2 linked regions of the Lytechinus pictus genome follow. The protein of the gene in region 2 interacts with the protein of the main gene of each other region in a pairwise test. Links are inferred from orthologs where the notes say so. Each region holds a gene or a part of one and is shown on either strand. Other genes may lie near its edges.

Region 1 (9,489 bases), on a different chromosome or scaffold from region 2:
AATAAATAAAATAGACTCTAACGGAGTCTAAGTAACGTTAATTATTAACAAGTGGAATGCCTCTGGCCGTCTCACCTGCATCACGCTATTCAATATAGCAGCAGTGCTGATTTTGAAAACTACTATAACTCGCACAAGATGTTCAGTGATACTTGGTTACTCTTATTTCCACGTGTTATGAACTAGACCAATACACTTATAGAGATATGATGGCAATTCAACAAATACCCCCAATGTGGCCAAAGTTCTTTGACCTTAAATGACCTTTGACCTTGATCATGTGACCTGAAACTCGCACAGGATGTTCAGTGATACTTGATTAGTCTTATGTCCAAGTTTCAAGAGTCAGATCCATCAACTTTCAAAGTTATGATGGTAATTCAACAGATACCCCCATTGTGGCCAAAGTTTATTGACCTTTGACCTTGGTCATGTGACCTAAAATGTGCACAGGATGTTCAGTGATACTTGATTACTCTTATGTCCAAGTTTTATGAACTAGACCAACACACTTTCAAATTTATGGCTGTAATTCAACAAATACCCCAATTTGGCCAAAGTTCATTGACCCTAAATGACCTTTGACCTTGATCATGTGACCTGAAACTTGCACAGGATGTTCAGTAATACTTGATTACTATTATGTTCAAGTTTCATGAATCAGATCCATAAACTTTCAAAGTTATGATGGTAATTCAACAGATACCTCCAATTCGGCCAAAGTTCATTGACCCTAAATGACCTTTGACCTTGGTCATGTGACATGAAATTCATGCAGGATGTTCAGTGATACTTGATTAACCTTATGTATAAGTTTCATGAACTAGGTCCATATATTTTCTAAGTTATGATGACATTTCAAAAACTTAACCTTAGGTTAAGATTTTGATGTTGATTCCCCCAACATGGTCTAAGTTCATTGACCCTAAATGACCTTTGACCTTGGTCATGTGACATGAAACTCAGGCAGGATGTTCAGTAATACTTGATTAATCTTATGGCCAAGTTTCATGAACTAGGTCCATATACTTTCTAAGTTATGCTGTCATTTCAAAAACTTAACCTCAGGTTAAGATTTGGTGTTGACGCCGCTGCCGCCGTCGCCGCAGCCGTCGGAAAAGCGGCGCCTATAGTCTCACTCTGCTATGCAGGTGTGACAAAAATGCTTTTCTTTTTTAGCTAAAATTTCATGATTTCACAAAGATAAGTTTATGATGGGGGGACCTAAAGCTACGCACTTTGTTTGCAAACAATAAAAACTATCCCAATTTTAATATTTCAACAAACATCATTCACTAATTTGTGGCAAAAATTCTAAAGATCATTAACCAAGAAGAAAATATCGCAAAACTCACTAATACGAAAATCCCGCCATGTTTTCCGAACACCTCTTCATTCGCCACCCGATGTAGAAGGGGTCCTAAAGCTACGCACTCGATTTATCATGCAAAAAAATAGTATTTCCTGTGCCTCAATTTCTAAAATATATTCATATTATTATAGGATAAAATGAAATTTAAGCGAATATAACTCCTAAATTCCAAACAGTTGTTGGTTTTCTCTGCATTTAGAGATTTACTGCAGCCTCTGTTGAAAAAATTGAATAGGAATCGTTCGTCACTCTGCAGTCACAGTTCCACACACAGAGTGCGCATTTGCCATAACAAGTGGAATGCCTCTGGCCGTCTCACCTGCATCACGCGATTCAATATAGCAGCAGTGCTGATTTTGAAAACTACTATAACTCGCACAAGATGTTCAGTGATACTTGGTTACTCTTATTTCCACGTTTTATGAACTAGACCAATACACTTATAGAGATATGATGGCAATTCAACAAATACCCCCAACGTGGCCAAAGTTCTTTGACCTTACATGACCTTTGACCTTGATCATGTGACCTGAAACTCGCACAGGATGTTCAGTGATACTTGATTACTATTATGTCCAAGTTTTATGAACTAGACCAACACACTTTCAAATTTATGGCTGTAATTCAACAAATATCCCAATTTGGCCAAAGTTCATTGACCCTAAATGACCTTTGACCTTGATCATGTGACCTGAAACTTGCACAGGATGTTCAGTAATACTTGATTACTATTATGTCCAAGTTTCATGAATCAGATCCATAAACTTTCAAAGTTATGATGGTAATTCAACAGATACCCCCAATTCGGCCAAGTTCATTGACCCTAAATGACCTTTGACCTTGGTCATGTGACGTGAAACTCATGCAGGATGTTCAGTGATACTTGATTAACCTTATGTATAAGTTTCATGAACTAGGTCCATATATTTTCTAAGTTATGATGACATTTCAAAAACTTAACCTTAGGTTAAGATTTTGATGTTGATTCCCCCAACATGGTCTAAGTTCATTGACCCTAAATGACCTTTGACCTTGGTCATGTGACATGAAACTCAGGCAGGATGTTCAGTAATACTTGATTAACCTTATGGCCAAGTTTCATGAACTAGGTCCATATACTTTCTAAGTTATGCTGTCATTTCAAAAACTTAACCTCAGGTTAAGATTTGGTGTTGACGCCGCCGTCGCCGCCGCCGTCGGAAAAGCGGCGCCTATAGTCTCACTCTGCTATGCAGGTGAGACAAAAACTGGATGCGCGACGAGTGGTGCGTAGCTTTAGGACCCGCGCAGCTTTAGGACCCCCTACCATACATTTAAGGGCCATTCCGTGCTTTTGGGAACTGGTAGCCAAATTGAACTTGTACCTCCTTTCACCACAATATGTAAAGAATCTTCGCTTCGGCGATTTTGAAAAGAATTGATGCGAGAGACTTTGTTTACGATGCGAAGCTCCTCACACAACTGGTTACCTCTTTCCTCATGCGATGTTTAACGGGCTCAGTTTGCCACGGGTGGACAAGTTTTCAGATGACATCGACTATTCCGCGGAATCATAATTTTTGTAATTATCCATCTACCCCGCATTTCCCTGCTCTTCAAGACCACTCTGCCACTTTCACAATGTTGACAAAAACTTATATTACAAAATCGATTCACTAAATAAATCACAAACAAGATATATCTGGGGATGAATCACTTTAGTAAACTGTAACTGTATTATCTACTCGTGAAAATGGGAACCAGCATAGCTGGTTCCCATTTTCACGAGTAGATAAAGACAGTTTACTAGTGAAATTTATTTCGTCAGAGTCATCACTGACGAAATAAATCTCATTGGCAATCTCTCTCTATATCTACTCTTCAAAATGGGAACCATCTAAGAAAATTCTTTTGAATTATAAATGCTGGTTCCCATTTTCACGAGTAGATAAAGACAGTTTATTAATCAGATTTATTTCGTCAGAGAATCATCACTAACGAAATAAATATTACTAGTAATCTGTCTTTATCTACTCGCTGAAATGGGAACCAGCGTGTACAACTCTATTGAGAATTTTCCACGCTGGTTCCCATTTTGGCGAGTAGATTAAACTAGTTTAATCTACTCGCTGAAATGGGAACCAGCGTGTACAACTCTATGTGGAGTTTTCCATAGAGTTGTACGCACTGGTTCCCATTTCAGCGAGTAGAGTAAACTAGTTTACTCTACTCGCTAAAATGGGAACCAGTGTGTACAACTCTATGGGGAGTTTTCACGCTGGTTCCCATTTTAGCGAGTAGAGAAAAGACGGCGACGAAATCAATCTTTCTGATCTAAGCTCTTTGAAGGATTACTTTATCTAGAATCAGCGCGCCAGCTGCGGTGAAGCAGTGAACAAGCTCGAAAAGGTAGGTAGGTCATGTCTTGTCGTGAAAAAGTCTCCTTTGGAAATTAGGAACTGGTTCCCAATTTCACGATAATGCCCATTTAAGACATTAAGTACCAGATCTAGATAAATGATAATATGGTGACAACAATTAATCTTGATTTATTAAAAAGACTTTCTCATGAAATAGTTTGCTGCAACTACGATACCGGTATACCGGTACGATACTACGAAACTGTTCGTCTAACTTAGTTTCATCTACTTGGCAGTGATCAAGCTAACGTAAGAAACATAACGTGGGACTACAGTAACCCTGTCAGTAACCCAGGGAGCTCCGGCGCCCGCTGCGAGGGCCGGAGCTCCCTGGGTTACCCTGTCAGCAGCAAAATATGCCGAAGTTTGTTTGGAAAAATACTAAATACACTAAAAAGATATCATCAAAGCTTCAACTTTACTTGCCCATTTTTGACTGATTTAAGCAATACTTACAACTTCCCTCCTAAACATTTCACTCCAAAAACAACTGAATTAAATTTGTTGACAAGAATTGTTGACGTGTCCTCTGCTCGCTCTGGCTCTAACGCACGTACGTTCACCGCCTATAGGCTATGTATCAACTCAGTGGAGCCCGCCATTATAAAAGCCCTCTCGCGGTAGGTCGCCTAACAATCTTGTTAGCGACGCTTACGAGCATCTTCTTGCTCACTCTCCAAAATGTCTGCGATATTAAAATCCTAAAAACTAATGAAATCGTTTAAATTTAGTGAGACTATGAATGTTTATCATTTATATTGACTATCGGTGTATCAACCTATATCGAAATTATAAGCAAGTGTGTGTAAGAAGGCGATTTACCAGTCATTTTGATGAGTGATACAATATGCCAAAATTTATGAAAATATAGCGTAAATTTTATATAGCATTTCAAAAATCCTTATTTTCAATATCCCCATAATTTTTTGTTGTTTTAAAAAATATCTTATTACATTAACTAGAATTTTCCAGACCTGATAACGTTGGTAGCTTATTTTCTCCATCATTCATAAGAAAATTTCAGGCCTTCAAAATCTGGTTATTTTTTGTTATATTTCTAAAAGAAAATAGTTAGATTCGAACAACTATACCATTGTTCTCCCGAAGAAGGGTTATCATCACATAAATTTGTGTATATCATACATAACATTAAATATTACGAGTGTAGCAATCAATGTTGGATAACATTTTTCACGATGAGTTACGTAATGAACAGACAAATCAAGTTCATTCTTAGCACACGAGCCGCAGAATGCAAAATTTTAGCGTGTGCAGACGGGGCTGATCGCCCGGGCTGTCCGTTCAGATTATCCAGTCCGATACTGGAGTCAGGTGGTATATTTCACGTACCTTTTCCCCTCGCGATGACCACTGTGCAGTTTTAGTGTTTTATTTCGATACTCAGTCTATGAAATTCATACTTTACCGATGTCTAAAAATACTTGGAATATACCTGACACATAAATTATTTCATTTTCGGTGATTATTATTTCTTTCCTTAATTACAAAAAGTCAAACTGATGTCAAGAATGTGTAACATTGACTGTATAGTTAAAAATATAGGTTTGGGAAATATCGTGTTAAGTTTGTCCAATGTCATCAGCATCTCGGTATATGTTAAACAGAAAATATAAAACAACTATATGTTTTGTAAATTCCACGACCGCCTTTACCATTATGGAACATATGAAGCCAACCTGCATGACCGCCGGGGGGGGGGGGGGGGACTCAAATTATTTGTTAAAATGAAAGTAGTATCAATATTTATAGACCTTCAATATGCCTATTACCAGGCTCTTGTGATTATAAATTATAATCATGGTGAGTTGGGGGAGTAAAAGGGTTGGATGAAATAGATTGCATGGGGAGGGGTCGAGGCCGAGAGAAAAAAAGAATTAAGGGGCCAAAAGGAGATTGCAGGCCGGTAGAATGACAGAGGGTCAAATATTAATAGGGCAAGCTTTATTTGAGAGCTTGACCATAACAGGAGGGAAGGAAAAATACAAGACAGTGGAAATTTAAATAGGGAGAGCTGATCTTTGAGATATATAATGGCACGAAAGCAAAAACAAAGAAAGAGAGAACAGGGAGATAAAGGAGGAGGAGAAGCCCTTGCAATTAAAATGTATCAAACACACTTGGCTGGGGCGGCAGTGAGCACGGTGAGATGATTACCCCCCCCCCCCCCTCCCTCTACCACCTCGTCAGTCTCAGTAGCAGAGAAAGGGGACTAATGATTGACTTTTTGTGATTCATGCAGGTCGAAAGAAATGATAATTCTCAAAAATGAAATCATTCATGTGTCAGGTATATTAGAGCATTTTTAGATATCGGTAAACTATTCATTTCACAGATTAAGTATCAACATTAAGCACTATAAAACTGGACAGTGGTCATCGTGGAATATACCACCCGAAACCAGCATGACCAGTATGGGACTAGATAATCCCGTCCGACACACTAGGGATCAGCCCCGTCTGCGCACGCTAAAATTTATCATTCTGCGGCTCGCGTGCCAAGAATGAACTTGATTTTTTCTCTTCATTACAAAACTCATCGTGAAAAAGATTATCTAACATGGATTACTACACTCCTAAAATGAATTGATATGTATCATTTACACAACAATACGAGATGATAACCCTCATTCGGGCGTACAGTTGGTATAGTAGTTCGAATCTAACAATTTTCTGTTAGAAATATAACAATAATTAACCTGATTTTGAAGGTCTGGCATTTCCTCATAAAGCCGAGAAACAGTAATCTATTAACGTTATCAGGTCGGGAAAATTCTAGTTAATGTAATAAGATATTTTTTAAAACAACAAAAAATTATGGGGATATTGAAAATAAGGATTTTGAAATGCTATATAAAATTTACGCTATATTTTCATAAATTTTGGCACTTTGCATCACTCATCAAAATGACTGATAATTCGTAATATAACAGGCAATTGCCATTAAATTCGGTATGAGTTTGTACACCGATAGTCAGTGTAAATGATAAACATTCATAGCCTTACTAAATTTGAATAATTCCATCAGTTTGTAGGATTTTAATATCGCAGACATTATGGAGATTGAGCCAAACGATGCTAACAGGCGTTGCTAACAGGGTTGCTAGGCCCGAAAATCCGATTAAGCTCCGCCCACTTTTTACACTGAGTTGGAGGGATTAAAGCTCGTGAACGTTGGGCTTGACAGTCGAGTCTTGAATATTCATGAACCATGCATGATCGACGGTGATCGAGTGCATAACTTTGCCGGGTATGGAGGGAGGGGCTATATAGGGGGGCGGCAAGATTAAAGTAACCTTTTAAGTGTTGACATATCATAAAGTGAAGTTACTTAAGTTCTATATTAAAAATAGTTGTATTGTAAGGTGTACAAATTATAAGTTCAGGGGTATAGAAATGATAAAGTTCTATTAACTCAATCATCGAACCAAAGGGGAAATAAGTGAAACTGAAGTAGAGACGCAAGTTGAATTGAACCCCGGGGGGGGGGGGCACTCAGTATATAATGCATAGTGGGTATGTGCCGCGGAGGGGACCCCCATTTTTACACTCAAATTTCCGTTCCAAGGCATAGCATTTTTGTCCTATTGAGAAAAAAAACAAAGAAAGCCGCTCCAAGGCATAGCATTTCCTTCTTATCGAGAAAAAAGAAGAAAGAAATCCGCTCCAAAGCTTTGCATATTTTTCGTTACGCCGTTCCGGTCGCATTGATCTGCTACAATTTTGGTGAAAAGCGGCCGTAGAGCGCTTTTCGACCATCGCCTAAGCGCGAGCGCACCCAGCGGAGGCCGCCCTAGCTGCGTCATGCACGATTGCCCGTTCCATAGGGATGCATACGCATTCACAGAGATACGGAGATCCGTTCCGAGGACCCCCGTTTTCACAAACATTTGTAGTTCCGAAGCCCGTTCCGAGGACCCTCCTTTTTACAATAAGCCCGCTCCAAGGCCCCCGTTTTTTGCCTCGCCCGCGGCACACCACTACCACTTTTTTGGTCGAGTGCCCCCCCCCCCCCCGGAATTGAACAGAACCAAAGAAGTCTGGTAGTGCATCTCTGGGCCTGGGCTACGTTGCCTCAGCTGAACTCAGAATGATATACAATTTACATAATTTATTTGAATTAGAAATAACAACCAATAATGGAAGGATCGAACTAAAATGTAAGAACCCAATACATAAGATAAACCAATAAGGAATATGAAGGATGTCTGGGTGATTGTGTAATAAAACAGAAACTAAGGAGTCAGACTAGGGATGCAATGAGTGGAACACCTGAAGAGAGAATAGGGAAGGAATGAAGATGACAAAGAGAATGTCGGAGAGAAAAGGAATTCAGAGTAGAATGAATGAATGACCATTGAATATCATAACCTAAGTTCAAGGGCAGTGCTGAAAAGAAATGCAAATGAACTCAAGTCTATATAGACGGAACAGAAATGTAAAACAGCTGAAGAAAAAACAAGTCAAAGGAAATAAACAAAATAGGAAAATGACAAAATAACCATCCTACGTACAGTATATCTTGTGCATTTTTACGAGAATATACTCATGAGCCTCGTAGATAAATGCAGGCATGCAGCCTTTTTCTTTGGTGAAACTGCAAAACGATGTACTAGTAGAAGTTTATCAAATCGGGTAAAATATCAGGGAATATCGAGCTTATAACTGGCACCCGCCCATATAGCCCTACCTACGAAAAAAAAATTGCCTGTCTATGAAGGAGTGGAGCTCCGAGCAAGAAAATTTATGCGGTAGGGCCTAAAACTTAAATGATATATAGACACTTCTAGTCAGATAAGTCAAGCCATAGATGTTTAGTCAGTGAACGGTGCCGGGGGCTGACATTGACCGGATGAGATAGTTTTAAAAATTTGAAGAATGAAAAATGCTGTTTTGGAGCACTTTACAGCTCGAGTAGGTTGCTCATGAATTTACTAAATGCGTAATTATTATTATTATTATTATTATTTTTTTTTTTTTTTTTTGGGGGGGGGGGGGGCAACGGGTGGGCTGGCAACGCTCCCGACGGAGACAAATGCCCCCATGCCCCTCCCGGCCTAGTGCCTCCACTGGTGCACACAACCTTATTGCAGGGGCCAGCTATGGGGCCTACTTCCGACTCCAGTGCACCTGCCTCCACATTACTCTATCAAAACTATTCAGTTATATTTTATCATCTCTCTGATCAAATTGTGTTTTAGAACTTTCATTTTTCTAAAATTTTCATAAGAATAGGTATATGCTATTGATAAATTATCATGGAATTCACATATTGATACAATTTGCAAAACCTTATCAAGAAACGCTATAGTGATATAGTTATATGCTCTTTCACCGATTGCCTCTCGTTATGATCTATGCGCACTATAGCTTATTTAGGGATCGAAAGGCAACTTGATCGAGGTTTAACAAAATTTCACTCTTGAAAAAAGGGTACTTTGAGAGTAATAGATATTGTATTAAACGCTATATACATATTGCACATTAATATTTTCTCATTATTTCGCCAAAATTGCACTCGCAAAATTAATGAAATATTCCTTACAACTTTATCAATTCAATCTTGATTTTGTGCCTGTAGGTTTAATGAAAACTGCTTGTAAAAGTAATACTTTAAATATTTATTACATCAAGAAGCATAATGCTACCCTAAAACTTGAATGGATTTTACAAATACCCCCCCCCCCCCATGATCCCAATT
Region 2 (10,539 bases):
ATGGATGAGATATAACTTTCATAAGGTTGGAACAATAGAATATGTTATTAATATTTATTTAAAAAAAAAATTTTGTCAGACGTTCATAATTTATATTAAGCATATCAATCGTCAGTATCTTGATTTCAAAGCATCAGTATTGCAGAGGAAAGTCATTATAGATTGGAATCAGTGGCAGATCCGGGGAGGGGGGGGTAGCATTTCTGGCCCGTTCCCCCTTTTGAGATTTATAGTCAATATTTTGGATGTAAATATGTCGTTCATACAAAGTTATGGGCCCCCCTCCCTTGAGAATCACAGCAATATTTGTAATGGGGATATTTTGTTCATATTCTTCTCTTTTTGGGCCTTTTTTTTTGTTTGACAAATTTTACGGGGAACAATATGACTTTCTATACATCACTTTTAGTGACAAACTTTTTATGGGGGGGGGGGGCTTGCCAAATATAACGGTGGACAAAATGACCTTCTTTTTTCTCACTCGGTGATCTTGCAACTCTGTGTGCTACTGGAACTTTGGCCTTGCTTCAACCTCTTGCTATTCATATTTACAGGTATCATCCCACTCTAAAAGGTATTCATTCCGATAGAACATTTCAACTACATTGTAGTGAAATTTGAAAGAAATCTACTGACGCTAGTTTCGGCGATGTCTAATTTTTGGGAGTGTTGTTGGGCACTTCCACATGCCAATGTATGCGCATTGTTGTTTTCTATTAGTGCACCTTGGTCCCAATAAAGGTCACAACTTTTGTTTTAAAAAACAATATGGCAAGTTCCCCCCAAGTCTGTGCAGTCCCCCTTGTCATATCTGCGCAATTCTAGTATAAGAAGATACGCAACGAACACAAACTTTACACATGCAACATATAGACAGATATTCATTAAAAAGTCCTACTCAAAATGGTGGAAAAATAATTAATTTTGGGCGTTTCATGTCACGGCCTCAAAATGCAGCCTTTCTCATTAAAATACCCGAATCGTGTGGAAAGTGAATGGGTGCGCAGACATGAGTTACCATTTTTTTTATTCAATCTGAAAATGACTGCCCGAGGTTTTTTTCCAAGAAAATTCTATATTTCTTTCAAATTTGTATGAGATATTTGGTACACCTACTCGTAATAATAGAAGGAACATTATTAACTAAAAGATTTTGTGAAAAGAGAAGAAATTCATGTTAAAATCTCAACTCAAATTGTAATGTTGTTAGGATCAGCGCAGACTTGGGGCCCACCATCATTCATAGTTCATACCATAACCTCCTTGGGCCGATTGCACGAAAGGGTCTTTTCAAGGACCGTCTTTCGTGTCGCCCATCTTTTATGATGCGCTGTATGCGGGATATTTCTGAAATGTATGATTAACAAATAAAATTTGTTAGCTAGTACTAGTAGTAGCATTAAAACCAATTTGTATACAATTAATTTCATGATATATCACATCATTTAATAAACAAAGATTTTGTTTACTTTAACGGATGAATAAAATATTTTTGCACGTATAATTTATTTAAAATGCGTTTCACATGGCACATCATAATAAATGGGCGACACGAAAGACGGTTCTTGCAAAGGCAAAGCCAAAGACCCTTTCGCGCAATCGGCCCCTTGTTACCACTCCTAGTACCAATGAGGTCCAACATTACATGTATGGACCTCATAGGCGACATAAGTGATAAAACCGGTTAGACATTGCCGTTTCTATTTGCACACAAGGACTTTGGCAAATGTACGCCTTAATACAAATTGGATGGTAAAAATTTTGGTATAAATTAGTTCTTAACATCTTAAATAATCTATTACAATGGTTAAAAGTTAATGGATTGAGGTTAAACTTACATTTTCAGTCTTTTTTCTTGAATTCTTGGTGAGCGTTCCAAACGCTGTGGGGACTGATCAACTCCGATGTGATTCACGTACTGGTCAGCTGATCGGTCAGGTGATCGGTTGGTTATCTTTTTGTCAGACGTTCATAATTTATATTACAATATATCAATCTTCAGTATCTTGATTTCAAGCATCAGTATTGCAGGGAAAAGTCATTATCGATTGGAATCAGTGGCAGATCGGGGGGGGGGGGGGGGTGGTTGAGCATTTCTGGCCCGTTCCACCTTTTGAGATTCATAGTCAATATTTTGGATGTAAAAAAAAATATGTCGTTCGTACAAACTTATGTCCCCCCCACCTCCTTATGAGAATCACAGCAATATTTGTAATGGGGATATTTTGTTCATATTCTTTGCTCTTTTTTGTCCTTTTCTTTTTTGCTTCTCAAATTTATTTTACTTTGAACAACATGACTTTCTATATTTAATGACAAACTTTTTTAGGGGGGGGGTGGGGGCTTGCCAAATATAACGCGCGGCAAGATGACCTTCTTTTTTTAGTGACAACTTTTTTTTTATTTGTCAAATTTTACGAGAGACAAAATGACCTTCAATCATTATTAGTTAAACCTTTTTTTTGGGGGGGGGGGGGTAGGGGGCTCGCCAAATAGTGACACACTTTTTTTGAAAATTTTACGCAAGAAAAAAATGATCTTCAATCATTATCAGTTACCTTTCATTTTTTTTTTTTTTTAGGGGGGGGGGCTTGTCAAATTTTACGTGGGACAAATGACCTTCATTTTTTAGTGATTTTTTTTTATACTTGACAAATTTTAAGAGGAACAAAATGGCCTTCAATCATTTTTAGTTAAAACCTTTTTTTTTTTGGGGGGGGGGGGGGGCTTGCCAAATATTTCACAAACAAAATGAACTTCAATTTTAGTGACCATCTTTTTATTACTTTTAAAATTTCACGCAGGACAAAATGACCTTCACTTTTTTTTAATGTTATGTTATATCGAGATTATTTACCTGACTGCTAAACAAGCACGAATGCCTGTGAGCAAGCAACCAGGGGACCGACGGCTTAAGGTCCTCTCCGAGGGACCTGGTAATGAGGATAAATGCCTTACCAAAGGGCACTAGCGCACCACTTGGTAATCGAACCTGGGTCACCGGAATCCGAAACCCCCGCTCTACCGACTGAGCTATCGCGCCTCCGATATGTTAACCTTGGGGGGGGGGAGGCTTGCCAAATATTACACGGACAAAATGACAGTCTTTTATTTTTAGTAACCATCTTTTTTGTTTTACTTGTCAAATCTTACGCGAGACAAAATGACAATTTTTCTGTGATAACCTTTTTTTGGGGGGTTGTCAAATTTTACTTGAGAAAATGCACCCCCCTACTTTGGAAAATCGAAGATAAAGATCATATACATCTCAGAGGCGTAAACAGATGGGGGCATGGCTGGCCATCCCCCGAGTGGATTTCACCTGAAAAAAAACATGATAAGAGCAAAGGAAGGAAGAAAGAAAGAAAGAAAAAATGAAAGAAAGAAAGAACGAAAGGAAATGTAAAATGGAAGGAAAGTCATGTGAGAACAAATAATCCGGGGGGGGGGGGGGATCTACTCAGATAATAAAAAAAATCTGCCATCTGTAATTAAATTGGATTAGTTAATATCCAGAGGTCCCAGTGCTACCAACATGCATGTAGTACGGGCAGTGGCGTACCTAGGATTTTCCACAGGGGGCAAAATCGGCCGCCAAAAAATTTGACAAGCAAAAAAAAAAAAAAAAAAAAGGTCTTCAAGCTCGTCAGGGGGGGCAGAGATACGTAATTTGCATGGGTTTGTGACTCATCGGGGGGGGGGGGGCAGACTGCCCCCCCCCTAGGTACGCTAGTGCTCGTGACTTACATTACGTAAGTATTATCTTCCACACGCGACATGTGCATATGTGCTATGCCCCCTCTTATATACCCCTGTTATGCCCCTGCACAGACTCGTCTACATTGATTTCGATATTTAAGCGTCATTATAAAATTATAGCAAAAAGAACGCCTTGAATTTGCTGGAAATTCAAGGCCAAAACGTACCCGTCTGGCGTCGACTTTTCCAACACACGTACACGTTGGAATAGCGGTGTAGCCCCAGAGTGCTTGTTACTGGGGCTATGAAATGAATGAGGTATTAATGAAAGGTCTTGATGAACTCTAAATGATGCTATGAAGCAAACACCTCATTTCTCAAATTTATTTTTTTGCAACATACCTACCTGGATGACAGCTGAATTATTGAATTTGAATTTTGATAAGAGACAGGAATATCCGGAATGAAACATGAAACACTGCGTGTGGGACTGTGTTGGTAGGCGATTAGCCATTAATTTAATATTTACCTTTCGTTTTCCGTGATGCAAAGTCCAAATTGATTTATCTTCTAAGCCATCCACCTTCTCTCCTATTTCAAAAGGAAAGCTCCTCGTTGGATCTCTCGACAAAAATGACCACATCGTCGAAACTTCTTGTTTTCCTTAGCTTTGGCTCAATCAGTTCTCGGTAGATCAACACGTCAATTACACGTCACAAATATACCGTACCGTACGCTGCCCAATCGTCGCTCAGTTTACGTATTTTCCTTTATGTTTCATTCAATTAGCTATGATACCCTTACTTCTATATGTCACCTGAAAGAGAAAATACTGGAAAATTGTTTCATAGGATAATAATTATATGTCTTCAAAGCACCGCTGTGTAATTCGCCGTTTTCGGCACCCCTTGCGCCTGTCCCATTCGCCGCTCACCACTGCCCTAACTCCGCTCACTTAGCGCGCGCATTCATACATGTAGTTTATAAGGCCTGATACTGTCTAACTCTTTTTTCTACCCTTTTCTTGCACTTCTGAGTGAGAAAGTGTGTAATTTTGTTGTGATTAAATGTATTGTTTACAAGTTTTATAGTACTATGCACTGTATAAAATGTTCCTTTCGCCAAGTGCAATTATTTTTAGGGCCTCAAATTTTTTGTTACTGATCTACGCCTATATCATTTTTTTTATCCTCCAAACTTTATTCCGTATTTTTTTATAAAATACATATTTTCAAAAAACCTTTCCCGACAAACTTTTAACTGATTTCAATTGTCTAATAATATGAATATGATTCTAATCCATTCATGAATTTTATGAGTGTATCATTATTTATTTATTTCGGAAATGAAAAGTATATGAAATTGGAACAATGTAAAACAACATTAACAGAGTATAGATTGAGCACCCACTGGGTCAAATAAATTACTGTTGTCAATAAAGACCATGACCCTAACCAGTGCTATAAGGGTGCTTACATAAAATCGGAAGCGGATAAAAGAGTCAGCATGAACAAAAAGGTTTTAAACAACAATATACAGTATATAATAGAATAACATGCTTGATATAGTTAAGTTAACTTAACTTAAAATATCAATATTGATGAATTTACACCTTATAAATAAAACGCTATAAAGCTCTTTTAGCACATTCGCCATTCAAAGTAATCATTTTCGCCACTCATCCAACTTGAGTGCCCCCCCCCTTGTCGTCCCTTCCGCTCATTGCCCCCTGATGTCATTGACCATTGATTTACATTATTATTTTTTTTACTATTAGAAATAATTATTTTTATTCACTGCATATTCTTTGGAGCCTTCAACCAACAAGCTTTGCTTTTACTTTTAGCTCCCTCATATCCACATCTCTCATTTTCTTTCTTTGTCATTATTTTAGAACCAATTTCAAGAATACATTCTAGTACTTTTTTTATTGTTATATTATGTATATAATATACATTTCATATTTTTACGATTTATGCTTATCTATGAAAACTTGTATTGTATAATATTATTGTTTGTATTGAATTGTTGATTTTTTGAAAATGTGAAATGTTGATGTGAATAGACCTTGAACCCTGAACTCCGATAATACTTTTGGGGGGATTCCCTTATATTGACTTTCATAAAAAAAAGCTCATCTTGAAAAACAACAATAATATTTAATCACCTCGCTGGTTTAAGTTCACATTCGAACTCCCGTCAATAATAGGAGAGGGAAAAGGGCACTCAAGAAAATTCTATTTGTTCAAAATAAATTGGTCAATTTAAATCCTGTTCCGTTTTCAAACAAAACATAATTAAAAAAAGGAAATATCCATAAACATGACAAAGTTTCATCTATTCAAATCAATCAGGAAACTACTGACCGAGTTCAACAGGCCTATATAGGCCCATTAGTGGGATATATTTTTATTTATTCATTTAAATTCTTTATTTTATTTAGATTTATAGATATGAATCAGATAGGCATGCAGATAATGGGCCTAACATAAAATATATGTATCATTAGGCTCATAAGTTATCACATAGGCCTAATTACACATCTATTTGAGGTGACGTGTATAAAATCCTTGTTTCATTCCAATTAAATTATCCCTAAATTTCATACTCTGAGTAAATTATATTGGTAATCATCAAAATATGAATAGGCCACATAAAAAAACAGCATTACGATCGATAATAGCCTAGAAGACATGCCAGGGGCCGCGGAACCGGGGAGGGGCTTCACCCCAGAGCAAAAAAAAAAAACTATCCCTATAGTTGTTTGTTAGTCGGTATTGATAAGCATCGAAGTCTCATTTTTTAGCATTGATGACCTTAAGATTCGTTATAGAGCAAGATAATTTTTGTAAAACTTTTTCCCAAACACTTTGGGCCAGGCCGCGCGGAATAGGAAAATAACGAAATGAAAAAAAAAAGATTATGAGGAAGGAAAATAAAAGGAAGAAGACAAGACGAAAATGAGAGTTGGGGACCGACAAATACCTATACCCTTCATTTAGAACAAAATAACTATTCAGCCTGCTCTTCGCGCCCGCATTGACCGTTTGTTTCATTATTCATGTCTTGTTTTCAAGTCATTCTCGGTTTGTAAGATAAAACATCATTACAAAAGTGCTTAAAATGTCTCGTTTTTTCTGAATCAGGGGCGGAAATCTTTCCCAAAAAGTAGGGGGGCAAGGGGCTAGAAAATTTGACAAGCAAAAAAATTTTGTTCATGAATTCATATGACACTCGATCTCTTTTCGATCTCCTTTAAGACTTACTTTATTGTTCATGTATTACAGTTATAATCTGCCCTATAGCTAACATAATGAGCATAATATTATGGGCTGATCAATCGAGCTGATTTCTCTTATGTACAAGCAAATATTACCACTATTCTTATTGAAGCGATTTTTCTTATGAGGTAGGCCTATACTGAATTATGACCTGAAATAAATTCAGACATTCCTGAATTGTTTACACTTAATTTTCATCTCATATTAAATTCACGAGTTGAATTAGTAGAGTAATCAGGCGTTACCATGGCAACATACCATTACCATGCATTCAAATGAACTTATATCCATGCAGAACACTCTGTTGTTTTCGAAATTTAATTCAAATGAGTTGGTCGAACCTATGTAGATTTTGGCATTTTCATTGTCATTTTCCACCATTCATCTTTTCCCACCATAATGTTGATTTATGATGGCAATTCAATAAATGCCCCCAAAGGCGTACATGACCAAAGTTCATTGACCTTAAATTACCTTTGACCGTGGCATGACCTGAAACTCACTATAGGATTTTCACTGACTCCCTTATTTCTAAGATTCATGAAAGCTATAGAAACCTATAGTCCTATTTCAAACTTATGATTACATTTCACAAACTTATCCTGTTTTATTTCAATGTTTACGACGCCGCCCGCGCGGCGCCGTCAGAAAAAGCGGCGCCCTGTCTCTGCAGGCAATCAAGACAATTGTATTTTCTGCGGGAAAGATAAGCCGTTACCATGGCAATGGATCTTTTGCAAATACTTTGATGACTTGATAGGCCTATATCTAGAAATTGAATTTGGAAGGCTTAAGAATGATAGATTGGACCATTAAATTGACAGGGTAATATGCCATATATATCGGCTCAATATGTTATTTTTTTTAAACATATTAATCAGTTGCCATGGCAACGGCGGAAGGAGGCATTTATGAAACTGGCAACAAGCGGATTCATGTTCAGCACCATCAAAATAGAGGAACTGACACAAAAAATCAGATTCTAAAGAAAAGTCTACTTGAAAAATTATGACAATTCCGTTTAGGCCCTATATAGTATACTCTTACAATGATTATCATACTACAATCAGGGTGAGCGGAGTTAGGGCAGGCTGCTATCTCAAGGTATGCCCTCGCTAATTCATTCACACAACAAATATTCATTCTAAAAAAATTTGTCATGACGACATATCAGGACCTCCCGCACCTGCGACTCTCACATTTTCATTCATCATATAAGAATATAACATTTTTCACTGTTTTTTAGGAGTTTTTAAAGTGATTGAAAAAAACACGTAATTTGGTGCAGTTGCGGTACAGTTAATCGAAGTTCAAACCCGTTCAAACAGTTATCGGGTTACTTTACATTTAAAGCAGTATTTCACGATGATTTATTAAGGGATTGATTTTATTTTTCCACACTTTGTTTTTTCATGTAATGGTCTCCTCTTGGGTGCTTAATTATGCGAGTATACTAAACAATAAGGAATTTGGGACGAATTTAAAATGATAATCATAATAAGCAGCGTGCGCATCGCGCTTGTGAGGCCGGGGTGAGCGAGAATTGGGCAGCGTACGGTACGTACGATATGACACTGCAGCTGTACTGTGCACATACATGTATATACAGTATATGCCGCAGCACCAAAATATTATCTGCGGCAGTACCGGTACTCCACTTTTCAAAATTTACTCTGAAAGTTCCTGCAATAATATCTCGGAATTATGCAAATGTTCTCCAGTCTTTCTATACTTCTCTTCTATTCACAAAATAGGGCCCAGTGCCGTAATGAGCCAAAAATTTTGAGGGGGCGAAATATGGTAAAAGAATTGCGAGCGAGTGAGGCAAGCGGGCAAGATTTTTGACATTTTCATTACAGCGATCCAATTGAGAGATAGATTTTGACATAATATTCAGAAAATAATATCAGTCCTGTAGATGATAACTTCCCGGAATTTCTCACTACCCAAAATGATCTTGGAAAATAACTTCCCGGAAAGCATGTTGCACCTCTACCCAAATGATAACCATAGACTTAAATATCCCCCCCCCCCCCGGAACTGTATGGTTACAAATAACACACACACAATTTCATTTTTTGTTTTCATTCTTATACTTTCTTGATTAAAAAGTGGTTACTTGTAAACTGCTTTGGCAGATCATGTTTTTCACGACAGTAAAATAGATTTTGATTGAATTTTCTTTTTTGTAACATATTGGGCACTGACAAAGATTGTGACTTTACCTTTCATTTTTTAGAGCTACACTCCTTTTAAAATCTATTATTTTATTTCTATGGCATCAAAAATCCAAGTTTGTGATAAAGTTTGACATAATATTTCACCCTTATCCCTTTCCTTTTCTCTTTTTTTTCTTGGTCATGAAAAATTTTGGGGCAAGAGCCCCCCCCCCCCCCATCTGTACAGCAGTGGTCAAACGGTCATTTAGTAATATAGAGAATGAAAACAGGATGGATAGATGGTCAGAATAGTAGTGGATGGAGGCATGAACATCCAATTTTTTTTAACCCTGATGGATTTTTTGAACCTCTTCACTTAAAATATTCTCCCATTTCATGCTTTTTTTTAAAACAAACTTGACATCATGAAAAACTGTTGGTTATAGCAAGAAATCCTCAAAAAAAGGGAGTCAATTCATAAAGACTTTCTTCTATGGTAACTACTGTAGAAACTTGATTTTGATGACTGCTGAGTCTGTTATTATGAGTTATGTTAATGGCAAAGTTACCATAAATTTAAGTCCTTCATGAAACAGTCCCCAGCAGACCAGTGTGGACAAATTCAAACTCAAATTGGCAACTATGAAGCATGTCATATTTTTTGTATATTTTCTGTGGTAAATGATTTTGTTTTCATAAATCCAACCTAATATATAAGTTTTATTAAAAAAAATTATAATAAAAAAAAAGGAATAGAAAGAAATATATGAGGATATGAAAAGGTGACTTGCTTAGATGTGTTGGTCACATTGATTCTCAAAAACTGAATACAATATCAAAGTGGATTTCTTCACTTGAGAATATAATTAACAAAATAACATATTTCCATGAAATAAAGGACCAATAGTCAAATGATTGTTTCTTTGAATTCATATTGTATTCTAAGAAAGAGATACAGTTCCAACAAATGACTAATATTTATATTGCCCCAAAACCTTCCGTTTTCCTTTTGAAGGAAAACAGTAATTATCATAAAACTTGCAATATTCAAGAAAGCCGACCATCCATCGTGTAAGTAGTTTAGTTTTGAAATAGACAATTGAGTCATTACTTATGTAGTGATCTTGTAGTATATCTTTTGATTTGTATGAATAAAAGGGGTAATGCAAGAAACTCTTCAATCAATAACAAGTCAATTTTAGGTCCCAATTTTGAAGAAAAAAAAGGAAAAAGAAATTTATTGCTGGTCCGATTCTTACAAAATAATTATTACAGATAGATCTGATCAGGGACATGAGAGGGAGACCCTGATGATGCTGATCTGATTAAGCAAATTTACATTTTGAAGTCAATTACAAATATTACCATTTCTTGGAACATACCTTAAGTATGGGACTCAA

The links.
Region 1: the proteins of N-terminal kinase-like protein (region 2) and RAB6-interacting golgin-like interact in a two-hybrid assay, tested with the Homo sapiens proteins (2 studies listed by BioGRID and IntAct). The link is inferred for Lytechinus pictus from reciprocal best matches to the Homo sapiens genes SCYL1 and GORAB.

Annotation. Positions count from the first base shown.
Region 1 is NC_087259.1:24,659,066-24,668,554, forward strand, and holds the start of RAB6-interacting golgin-like, read right to left. Parts: upstream 4,314-9,489; 5' UTR 4,228-4,313; intron 1-4,227.
Region 2 is NC_087251.1:6,312,862-6,323,400, reverse strand, and holds the start of N-terminal kinase-like protein, read right to left. Parts: upstream 4,638-10,539; 5' UTR 4,343-4,637; coding exon 4,229-4,342; intron 1-4,228. UniProt on the Homo sapiens protein: Regulates COPI-mediated retrograde protein traffic at the interface between the Golgi apparatus and the endoplasmic reticulum. Involved in the maintenance of the Golgi apparatus morphology.